Xenopus tropicalis: one gene and its partners. The protein of the gene in region 1 interacts with the protein of each later gene in a pairwise test. Links are inferred from orthologs where the notes say so. Each region holds a gene or a part of one and is shown on either strand. Other genes may lie near its edges.

Region 1 (3,654 bases):
CTTCCCTGTACTCAGAACTGCCATGACCCTGTAGTAAGAACATGGCTACTCACCGTCTGCTGTTTCTCTCCCTCCTCCTGATGTTTCCTGTGAAGAATCAAAGAAAAGTTACTAAGGAAATTCTCCCAGTGCCAGTTGTCCTTGCTCCTAATAGATCCAATTAAGTTCCTACTGAAAAGGCAGAAAGTAGAGCACTGTTCTACAGCAAAGACTCAGCAGAAGGAGGCAAAAAATTAAAAAAAACATAAATAATGAAGACCAATTAAAATGTTGCTTAGAATTACCTATTATAACATACTAAAAGTTAACTTAAAGGTAAACCACCTCTTTAAGTTACCTCCAAACCCTTTCTAAATTTGCTCATCCATTGTTCAAGTGTGTCGCTCAGTTCCAGTCTTCTCAGAATCTCTGCTCTCTATGCTCTTTCCTTGCTTTCTCTTTGTACAAGCTCCAGTGCTTTTCCCTTTTCTCTCTCTTTCCTTTCCTTATCTTTTGTCTCCAGTCATTTCTTTATTATGTTTGCTCTCCGCTCTCTTGTACAAATGTGGCACTCACCTCTGTGCATCTATCTCCTTTGCCCTCTCTCGGAACCTCCGCTCTCTCTCCTCAGCCTCTCTCTGCTCTCTCTCCTTGCGCTCCTTTTCCAACCGATCCTTTTCTAAATTTGCCCTCCTGTGCTCCTCCAATCTCCGTTCCTCTTCATCTTTCTGAGAGACAGAGGAACTGTGTATTTCACGTGCACCTTTAGACCCTGGTCGTCATTTTTAGATCCGTACAAGCACCATTACTCACCTCTGCCTTAGCCCAGAAATTCTCCTTTCCTACGCGTTTTATCTCTGACATTGCATTGGTTTTCTGATACACTGACCCCTGTTAAAAGATTAAAATATATCAAACACTGGAATAACTCACAATCAATTACTTAGTGAAGGGTTTTATTTTGCATAAAATCATATTTTTAGTTCAAGTTGGCCCCCACATGTTATAGAGGGATATACCTGAAAAGAGTTGGAGAGAACTATTTTGTAACACTGTTCATATAATTCTAATTTCCCTTTATTTTGTCTCTCTCCACAGCTTTTAAAATAAAACCTTTTCTTACCACTGGTCCTTGGGGTCCCTCATTGCCCCTGTTACTCTCCTTGTGGAAGTTGTAGTTGGCGCCAGATGCTTTGGCCACCTTTTCCATGATGGCGTCTGGCTCTACATCCTCTTCGGCACGGGCATTAATTGTAACATGTGCACCCTGGAATAATAGGAATGGAATAAAATATGTTGAAAGCAAGATGTCAGTAACACACCCAGACTGGGATTTAAAATAGGCCCTGGCATTTCAAGTACACAGGGGCCCAATAAATAGTGACTGTCTATGGCATCTTACAGCAGCCCCTCTGGCATTTTACAGAATTTACAGATTGCCAGTCTGGGCCTAGTTACATGTGGGAAAATATGGTTCCCCAGTGGAGTTGAGGAGGCCAGTACCTATTTGATCAAGCCTTGGTACAGATAATAAAGTAGTCCCATCCAGGCCCAGACTGGAATTCAAAATGCCCCCCCTCAAACAGCCCCCTACCAGCCCAATAAATAGTGACTGTCTATGGCATCTTACAGCAGCCCCTCTGGCATTTGCCTGAATCTACAGATTGCCAGTCCAGTTGGGTAAGCAAACTTGGGCAAAGCTGGAGGCAAGACAGTAAGGGTGAAGGTATCGGCCATTACTCCATGGGCTAAAGTACCCTACATGTGACATTAGCTTAAAGAACTTGCTTTGGATCAACTAAGTAGTCTGCCATGACTATATACACAAGGGGGTGCTTGATGTTATAAGTCCTTAGCTGCCATTTGCTTAGCTATACCAATATATTATTTTAGCAGTCAACAAATCCTATATTAGTTGTAAGATACAAAATTAGTAGAAGGTGGGGCAATGGCACACAGACAGATAAAAGCATGGGGTGTTTTTTCTGCCCCGTCTGCCTCTAAGTATAGAGATAAGGTAGTCTAAATTGGCATAGATGGACATTATTTCTTTAAGCAATTAAAAGGCAAGTAGTTTAAGAAGCAGCAAGGATTTTTAGGAAGGAAAAGTAAGGGAGGAATAAGAGATGAAGACTCAGACCAGATAATAGAACTAGGGGACAGAAGTGCATTCATACCTGGCAATACAGAGCTATGACTGGATGTGGCTCCCACTACATCAAGGCCTTTTCAGCTTACAGTGCAAGGTATGTCTTTTACTAGGTCTTGTCATTATGCTGCAACACCATTCAGTTTTTTTGCACAGGCTGAAATTTGCTCTCTAATTATATTATGATCAGTGGTTCACTGGGGGGAATAGGGGAAAAGGGGAATTTTTATTGCTGTAAAAAAATCACCCAAACGGTACTGGATGTTAACTAAATGTGTTTTCCAAATGTTTTTATTCTTCATCCTCCATGGGTTTGTTTTATCGCCATGACAGATCCCCTTTAAACCAGTTACTGAAGGTGAAGGTGCATTATAAATCACAGCTACGGGCATTTCCTTCTGATTCCAAAAGTAGATGTTCGGGCAAGTGGCTAATCCCTGAATCTAGTTCAGAAGGAGCAAAGCAGCTCCACTGTTTTACCTAAATAGCAACCATGTGTGTCATGTTCCTCGGACAAGTTAATAGCAGATTTATGAAGTGCTGTTACAGTCTGATACCTTGAGGAAGTTGGCCATGGTGCTGACATGGTTGGCACAGACCCCTTTCCGGGCATCATTCACACCTTCGCCTGTCTATAAGAAAAAAAAATGGGAGAAATGTTAAATATATATCAGGGACAAAGGGGCTGTAGGATACTTGTTGGTCTCCAAAGCTCACCCAGTTCACAAGGACAAATTTTGGGAGTCCTGAGTTGGGGTCTTTCACCCTGCAGAAGGCGTACATCACTTTGCCGCTGCTCAGTTCTTCCACTAGCTCCTCAAGCCCCCCATCTGAGGTAAAAGAAAAATAGGTGAAAAAATAACAGAAGAAAAATACCTCCAGTCACTGCAACCAAATACACAGAAATGGGAATCTATGGGCAGTGTATTACCCTGGCTCCATCGTCAGCATAAAGGTGACATAACCACACATACAACAGGCGTCTTTAAGTGCTTAAAATAGTGACCAATGTCATTGGAATCTGTGCCACCCGTCCAGCTGGATCTATAAGTGTTCCTGATTTGTTAAGGGTCTCAGCAATATAAATTATGATTCATGGCAGTATGGACGCTCGGGTGTGGTTTTATTGGAGTCTGTGGATGAGATGTAATTTGCCTATTGTGAAGGGACCAACACATCTACTCACATGCCAAGGATCTGTGATTTTCGGGGGGGGGGAGGACTAGGTTTTCTTGAAAAAAATCGGTGTATCAAGAGGCATAGCTGGGCACTGACACCACTGAATGGTGGGCTGCATGACGCCATACACAGTCAATACAGACAGAATGCCAGGGGAAGGGGGGATATAAAACCATAGCAAAACAGGGTGACTGAGGCCAATGGGTGCCCCCATATGTCATACAACCAATGCGTAAAAGGCATGGATCACTCACCTCCAGTTTCAGCCAATCTGATGTCATTGCTGTTACCTTCATACGTATAGAGAGCCCTTGAATAAAACATTGCAGCCATTAATAATTGAATGA
Region 2 (3,654 bases), on another chromosome or scaffold:
GAGAGTGAATCACAGTACGGTATTGATAGTCAGAACCCAGCTGCCGTCATCATCAAAGCAAGCTTAATAGCCATGCACCGATGTATAGTATAAAAAACATCTATACAAAAAATTTGATCAAAGACCCCAGCTTATCCAAACCAATCTACAACATGCAGGAATGATCAAAACATTTCTAATCACTTGTGGAAAAGCTCTTTGAGTAGATTTGAGTAATGTCATGGTAGTAATAATTTAATTGGGGCTTTAAAGGAAAACTATACCCCCAGAGTGAACACTTAACTAACAGATAGGTCACTTAACATAATATAACCTATTAAAGAATCTCGCCAAATTGGAATATATATATATTAGTAAATTTTATGCTTTTACATCCTTTACCTTGATCCACCATTTTGTTATGGGCTGTGTGCTCCCTCAGAGATTACATGACCAGAAACAATGCAGCTTTAACTTTAACAGGAAGAAGTGTGGAAGCAAAAGACAGAACTCTGTCCATTAATTGGCTGATGTGGCCTAGCAGGTATGTGTGCCTTGGCTTGTTTGTGTGCACTGTGAATCCTATGATCCCAGGAGGTGGCCCTTAATTTTTAAAATGGCAATTTTCTATTTAGGATAACCTAATTGCACATACTGTACTACTTAAAAAAAGTATATTTTTATAAAAATGGTTTATTTAGTTGAAGGGTTTTACATACGAGCTTGTTATATATTTTGTTTATATATACAATATATTTTTAGAGAGACCTACAATGTTTGGGGGTATAGTTTTCCTTTAATAAAGAGGGTCAATAATTAAATTCAACAAGTAAAATTCTTGTTAAATCAAAACATATTTAGTTAGATGAGCAGGTTGATTATAATTTAATATATTTTTCAAAAGTTTCTTACACTGCATGCAGTTATACAAAGCACAAAATTTTACAACAATGCAATTAAAATCTGCAAGCTTTTTCAGTCATTTTTCTCTCTAAACAATATGAATTTTTGGGAATAATTTTTGAATTAGCATTGAAAATTTAAAGTAGAACTCAACCAGAAATATAACTCACCCCCCCCCCCCCCCCCAGAGACTATCACTAACATTATATAATTCAAAACCACAAAAAAATGTAATTAATTATAAATGTATGTTTCCAGTTACTCGTTTATTATTATATATTATATGGCTGATGGAGTTTAAAAGTTTTATTGCCAAGTATATGGCCGTTTGGCTAAGTTTACTAAATATAACCTAGTAAACCAATAAGTATGTACATACATAAATCAGCACTTGTGTTGCATTCAGCGCACAGTTTTTGATAATTTTCCGTCTACCAGAAATGAGTCCAATATTTTCTTTTACAGTATGACATAGGAGATCTGTAATAACAAGTGACTGACTCCACCTAATTTTAAATACAACAGAAACAGGTTAATTTACACTGTATATCAATTTAACTACCTGGTTGATTCTTTACAGATATGTGTCTTATGTGAACTGGAAATCCCCTAAAATGAGGGCTGAGTGGAGTATGAGGAAATATTTTTTAATGTTTGGTTTAGTTAGAGTGGAAAATAATGCTTAATGGATGATGCCAGTTTTGTTCCAACAGTGTTTAATACTTAACAACTTGCAAGTGGCAGCCACAGTCAGCAAACATTTGTTTTCAGTGATTCATGATCACAAAAATCATACATGTAAAACTTCACAAAAGACCTGGGGAAAAGGTTGTTCTGGATAAGGAAAGGGATATCAAAAAGTGTGCGTGACCAGTGTAAACGACCTGCATGAAGATCAGTCAATAAATCAGGCATAATTTACAAAATCCCCTGCTACAAATAATAGAGAAATAAAGAAAAATCACACCCATTAGTGTTCAGATACAAAACATTTGCAGCAGAGGATTTGTGCTGTCCCCTAGTATTTTAGGTGGTGTATCTGATTTGTCATGTTCATGAAAGAACCTGTGCTTCCCCAGTTAACACTTTTAGCTTTTTGTTATTCACCTGCATACTAGCCGATAACAAAAAACAAATACCGTAAATCCATTTAGTTCTCTCTTTGCTAAAAATGTTATAAAGACTTGCCTGCTTGAAGGCACGTTTCTGATAAAAGGTCTTTAGTAAAAAAAAAATAATATGCTGCACTATAAGTAGAATACATTGCTATTGGGCTCATTTAATAAACAAGTATAAAGTTATGCTCCGAATTTGGGATGCAGCTGAATACCATTTTTTTTTCTCTTTTCTCTTGACCTACTGTTTATATTTTGTGCCATAAAAGTTTTCAGTTTTCTCAAACAATATTAATTCAAATTCCTCCAGGGCCAGACCAGTCTTACATTTCTGCATAGCATTACTGTGCCAACAAGGAAGTCCACAAAAAATGGCTAGTAACTCAAACAAAAATAATAAGTCTGCTTACCTTGTTAACATCAAACATAGTGGGATAAATAGTAATAAAAAAATTAGGACATTTTATTATTATATATTTACAGGGTTAAGATTATGCTCTACATATCCTCACACAAGATATATATATGTACACAAATGTTCACTATTTCAGCATTGTCAAGTGTCACGCATTAAACATGACGAACACAGAGTTTCAGCCCTCATGCTTTAAAAGCAGGAAATCAGGAAATTTACAGTTGCTTGCCTGACAACAGCCTACCAGCCCCTACTGCTCTATGAACTCCCTGATGGTCACCTTTTCCCTGTTCTCCCACTTGAAACTTGCAGAATGGCAAAAAATAAAATACTTCCAGCGCTTATGTAAGGTACTTTGGGGGTGTAAGTGGAACTAAAGCCATTTTAAATTTTTCAAGGGTACAAAAATTTGGTGTATGCCATAGCTGCACAGTGACAAAAAAGGTGACCTGCCTTTTAGTGATTAAAAAAGTCCTGAGTATTTTATTTTACAAGAAGTTTTGAGAATATATTGAGTTTGCACAATGGGTAATTATAAACTTGACCTAATCTTTTAAAAATTTGCTTATAGACAGCTAAAATATAATACAGTGGGTTAGTTTAAAGGCCTTTCCAAAAAATTATTTGTTTTCGTAGGGACAGAGATTATTATTATTATTTACCTGGTTTTCATCATTAATGATTTGTTGATTTGCTATTCTGACATTTTCATTAACCATTTGCTTGGTATCAGTGTTTTTTTTCAGTAAGTCAGCATTGTTGTGAGGGTGCAGTCTCAGTGTAGACAATTGGGATAATTCCACTTCTTGTTTTTTCCTGAGAGCAAAAATAGTTGTACAATAAACAAATGTATTTCTGTGTAAGAGAAAATTATGTTAAACTGTGGCCTAAATATTTTTCCATAGTGCAAGTTCCAACTTAGATTTTGAGAATTCAGTATATAATAAACAAGTTGTAAGACTCAGATGGGTCAACATTAAAATTTAGCAGGCGCAAATTGCAATTCCAAATACAATATCATGGGGTGCGTTACAGCAAACCTTACACAGCTACCAGTACAGGTGGGAACATCTTTTCGGCCGAAAATGCGCAAAGAGCACATGACAGTACATCATCTTTGTCACATGGAAATGTCCTTGGTGTTATTGAAAAGGGGTACTTAAAACCAAGGTCTTGTTTACAATGGTTGGGCAAATTTACAACTGGGCAATAACCCATGGCAACCATTGAAATATTTGCTTT
Region 3 (4,450 bases), on another chromosome or scaffold:
GGGCAGTTTTGGGCTCCAGTCCTTAAGAAGGATATTAATGAGCTGGAGAGAGTGCAGAGACTGCAACTAAACTGGTAAAGGGGATGGAAGGGTTAAACTATGAGGTTAGACTGTCACGGTCGGGGTTGTTTTATCTGAAGAAAAGGTGCTGGACATAATTGCCCTTTACAAGTACATTAGAGGGGATTATAGACAGATAGTGGGGGGTCTCTTTTCACATAGAAAAGAACAAAGAAGAGCCCTGACCTCACTGTAGACTTTTAGGGCTCTTGCACAAGGGGAGATTAGTGGCCCGTGACAAATCTCCCTGTTCGCGGGCGACTAATCTCCATGAAATGCCATCCCACCGGCGAAAATGTAAATCGCCGGTGGGATGGCATACGTGGCGCCTAGGAAGTTGCCTTGAGAGGAAACTTCCTAGATCAGTGCTGTATTATACGTATACTAGTAACCATTTGTCTTTTTATTTATTTATATTTTCCCTCCCAATGCAAAATATGCAAAGTGTATTATGTAATATCCCTACATAGCAAGCAAGATATATGGTTGTTTTCAGGCACAATGAGCTTATAGGCCTGGGAGGGGATGTGCCTGTCATTATCCACTTCTTGTGACCCCCATAGAAAAGAATAGGGATGCGACTCACAATGCGACCTTACCCCAAGTGGCAGTTTGTGGCCCTATTAGGAGGGGCACCTTATTAAACACCATTCTAATAGGAGGTGTGCCTTATTCAAAACTATTCTATTAGGAGGGGCACCTTATTAAACACCATTCTAATAGGAGGTGTGCCTTATTCAAAACTATTCTATTAGGAGGGGCACCTTATTAAACACCATTCTAATAGGAGGTGTGCCTTATTCAAAACTATTCTATTAGGAGGGGCACCTTATTAAACACCATTCTAATAGGAGGTGTGCCTTATTCAAAACTATTCTATTAGGAGGGGCACCTTATTAAACACCATTCTAATAGGAGGTGTGCCTTATTCAAAACTATTCTATTAGGAGGGGCCCCTTATGAAATGTTAGGCATTGCCCTTTTTTCAACACTATTCTAATAGGAGGTGCACCTTATGCTGCCCTCGTCTGATAGGAGGTGTTCCTTATTCAAAACTATTCTAATAGGTGTGTTGTATTCAACACCAATCTAACGGGTGTCCAAGTTGCAACCCCATTCCAATAGGAGGTGCCCCTTATGCTTCAACATTTTAATGCGTTGCACAGAGGTGTATGAAATGCAGCCGTGTTATTCCCCAAGTCTGCCTCACTCTAAAGTGTTTTATGTGGCCCCTGGTGACTGTGCCTGACCGTACAGTATCTTAGCCAGCCGTACAGACTTAGCCTGTTTTAGATTTCGGCCCCCTTATGTGATTGAGTTTGACACCCCTGCTCTAAAGCATACAAACAACATTTAGTATTACCCATTTACAAGTCCATTAGTATAGGATTAAAAAACTCTGAGGTCAGATTTTTCTACATTTCAGCAATGCCATGACATATTTGGCTGAAAGCATGGCCGCTGTTGCCCATGCCGTTAGCAGACATTAGAGGAGAGGCTAGACTGAGGCCAGTTCAGGTGAGCGTGCCTTCCCTCAGTTCCCTTTTTCATAAATGGGGAAGCGCTTTCTCTATAAAAGTAATGTGGTCCCCGCCCGGAAATCCCCCTGTGATTTCTTTATTTTTTTAAAAGGCAGCAATTGGCTCAGGGCTGGGTTCCCATAGTAAAGCCGTGGGCTTACGGCCAGGACGCTTGCATCTGATAAATGCACGTTGCAGACCCCAGGAAGGAGGAAGTTGCAGCCACAAGACAGGAAATAAGTCACCGGCCAGCTCCATCGCTTGTGTCCACCCTACAAGCAGCATTAGTTCAGCTTTTTCCCCTTGAAGCTCGCAGCAAGGCGTGGAGCAGAGCGGCACAGAAGTCACCGTTAACTTCTACTTCCCCTCCCCATTATCTGCACCGTTCTGAATACTCGTCCCCTCTGCTCAGCATGCGTCTGGCCTTCCGGACCATGTTTTTTACCTAATGGCTACAAATATAAAAAGATCACAGTCGCTGGCGGTTTCATTCGAGAGGAGGACCATGTGTAGGCAGGACATAAGGTAAGTGATTGCTCGGATGCAGCAATCTCAGTCTTACGTGGGTTATTATTATTTGTATCCATAGTACACAGAATACTGGGGATCTATCAACATGGGATAATGGCTCCCATTTATTAACAGTGGGCAAAAAACTGTGCAAATGTTGGTATAGGTTGGCACTTATTATTGCCCCAGGTGCAGGATGACACTGCCAGTGCATGGCACAACATTTTACATTAGTAGGAGTAAGTAAATCCTGCACTAATTACATACTCGTCAATAGGGGTGTCAATCTTGGCCATTCTCTTATATGCCCTCCATTGTCACCAATGAAATCATGTGTGGGTGCAGAAGCCAAAGAGAACCCTGAGCTAAACAGGTGAGTAAATGCAGGAGTAAGTGCCATCTCTATGGCTTCTATACAGATGCACATTTGCACCCATTTCTGCAGCTAGCACTTTGCCCACTGTTAGTAAATCAGGCACAAGAAGTAATAGTATCTGCATTAATGACCAGATTGTGTTTCCCAGTGAGTTGTACAACAGTTGCTTGTTTGGTTGGCACTGTAGCCTGGCATAGTGATGTATAGGGGTCTCACCTGCATGGCTGTCAATGTAAAACTATCTGGTGATTGGTTGCTAGAAAGGTTTGCTTCCTGCAGACTTGCTGCTGGCCACATGGAACTGTATTGGTGGCATACCTGTATGACTGTGTTGAAGGGGGAAAATAATTGGGTTTATTTTGTTGTCTATTTAGAAAGGGCAGCTGACTCCATTAGTGGGGCCTGAGGCAAAGTGGAGCCCCGTAATTTAGATCCCAGCCCAACAATTCTCTAGCTGTTAGTGAGATATAACCCTCAGCATCTCCTGGCAGCCTTTGGCTGATGATGGAGGCAGGGAGTTTAAACCAAGCAACCAATAGGGCAAAAGGGTTAGAAGGCAAGCGGTAATAAAGGTTTTAAATAGAGATGCACCAAACCCACTTTTTTGGGTTTGGCCGAACCTCCGAACCCACCCAGAAGAATTCGACCGAATCTCGAACCGAATCCGAATCCTTATTATCATATGCTGATTAGGATCGGAAGGGGTTAAAACCAGGATTCGGTGCATCCCTAGTTTTAAAGCAGTGGGTGCCTTTGTTTGGAATGTAATACCATTAATGTGCTAATTATATCATAGGTGGAACTGCTGGATTGGCATGATATTTTTTATCAGGACCCCCTTTCAGTTTGCCACTTTATTATTGCATTTATTTGTTATATTCCCTTCCTAGATATGTGGTGCGCACCTCTATACTCTGCATGTAACTGCTGATCGGCAGTACCCCACAGATGTAGGATCCATTTAAAGACAGGGCTAAGAGAAGGGTTACATTGACTATAAAAGCCAGGTCTGTGTTATAGAGACATCATCACTAAATAAGGCCTGTGATACAGTAAGTGCTAAGGGTATTATCTCAGGCCGAGGAAAGACAATGGCTGGGGGGCTGTAAGACTCATTTAACAAACAAACTAATAATTATTATTGTTTATAGTTTTCTGTTCAATCCCTCTCCTGCTTGTACATCATTCTAATGCCAGGTTGCTAAAACCAATGGCCATAGCAACTAGATAGCAGTCTTCTCTAGTTCTCCAAACTAGAGAAGTGCAGAAGGGGAAACAAAAGTTATAATGTCATTAAAATCTCATTGCCACTGACTGAGGGTTCTGGGAGTCACAGGTTTGATATCCCTTCATAGACCATAAAACCTTCCTTTTAATAATGTTACTGTTTGCTTTAATGCACATGAAAATGACTCATTCATTCTGTTTCTTGTGTGTTTATAAATAACAATACTTATTGCTCGCTACTGAGTCACACTTTCCAATAAAATTTAATCTGCGAGACTGATGTGGGAGGGATAGTCAGAGCCAACAGAGAGCAGAAAAGAAAGAGACAGACAGACACCATGATTTACAAAAAAACCTATTAATTATTGAATGTTTGTTTTTAATGTATGTTGAAAAGTTGCTTAGAATTTTTAGGCAAAATTCTATACAGGTATGGGACCTATTATTCAGAATGCTTGGGACCTGGGGTTTTCCAGATAAGGAGTCTTTCTATAATTCGGATTATTACAGAGAAAATGGAATCATTTAAATATTAAATAAACCCAATAGGGCAGTTCTGCCCCCAATAAGGGGTAATTATATCTTAGTTGGGATCAAGTACAGGTACTGTTTTATTATTACAGAGAAAAGGGAATCATTTAACCATTAAATAAACCCAATAGGGCTGTTCTGCCCCCAATAAGGGGTAATTATATCTTAGTTGGGATCAAGTACAGGTACTGTTTTATTATTACAGAGAAAAGGGAATCATTTAACC

The links.
Region 2: the proteins of dbnl (region 1) and sh2d4a interact in binary tests that used the Homo sapiens proteins (3 or more experiments, as listed by UniProt). The two-hybrid records come from large-scale screens. The link is inferred for Xenopus tropicalis from reciprocal best matches to the Homo sapiens genes DBNL and SH2D4A.
Region 3: the proteins of dbnl (region 1) and sh3bp2 interact in binary tests that used the Homo sapiens proteins (3 or more experiments, as listed by UniProt). The link is inferred for Xenopus tropicalis from reciprocal best matches to the Homo sapiens genes DBNL and SH3BP2.

What each region holds. Positions count from the first base shown.
Region 1 is NC_030679.2:126,682,757-126,686,410, forward strand, and holds part of dbnl (drebrin-like protein), read right to left. Parts: intron 3,618-3,654; coding exon 3,562-3,617; intron 2,959-3,561; coding exon 2,846-2,958; intron 2,761-2,845; coding exon 2,686-2,760; intron 1,247-2,685; coding exon 1,103-1,246; intron 871-1,102; coding exon 793-870; intron 708-792; coding exon 556-707; intron 88-555; coding exon 54-87; intron 1-53. UniProt on the Homo sapiens protein: Adapter protein that binds F-actin and DNM1, and thereby plays a role in receptor-mediated endocytosis.
Region 2 is NC_030677.2:96,296,578-96,300,231, forward strand, and holds part of sh2d4a (SH2 domain-containing protein 4A), read right to left. Parts: intron 3,229-3,654; coding exon 3,075-3,228; intron 1-3,074. UniProt on the Homo sapiens protein: Inhibits estrogen-induced cell proliferation by competing with PLCG for binding to ESR1, blocking the effect of estrogen on PLCG and repressing estrogen-induced proliferation. May play a role in T-cell development and function.
Region 3 is NC_030677.2:22,009,782-22,014,231, forward strand, and holds the start of sh3bp2 (SH3 domain-binding protein 2), read left to right. Parts: upstream 1-1,633; 5' UTR 1,634-2,028; coding exon 2,029-2,105; intron 2,106-4,450. UniProt on the Homo sapiens protein: Binds differentially to the SH3 domains of certain proteins of signal transduction pathways. Binds to phosphatidylinositols; linking the hemopoietic tyrosine kinase fes to the cytoplasmic membrane in a phosphorylation dependent mechanism.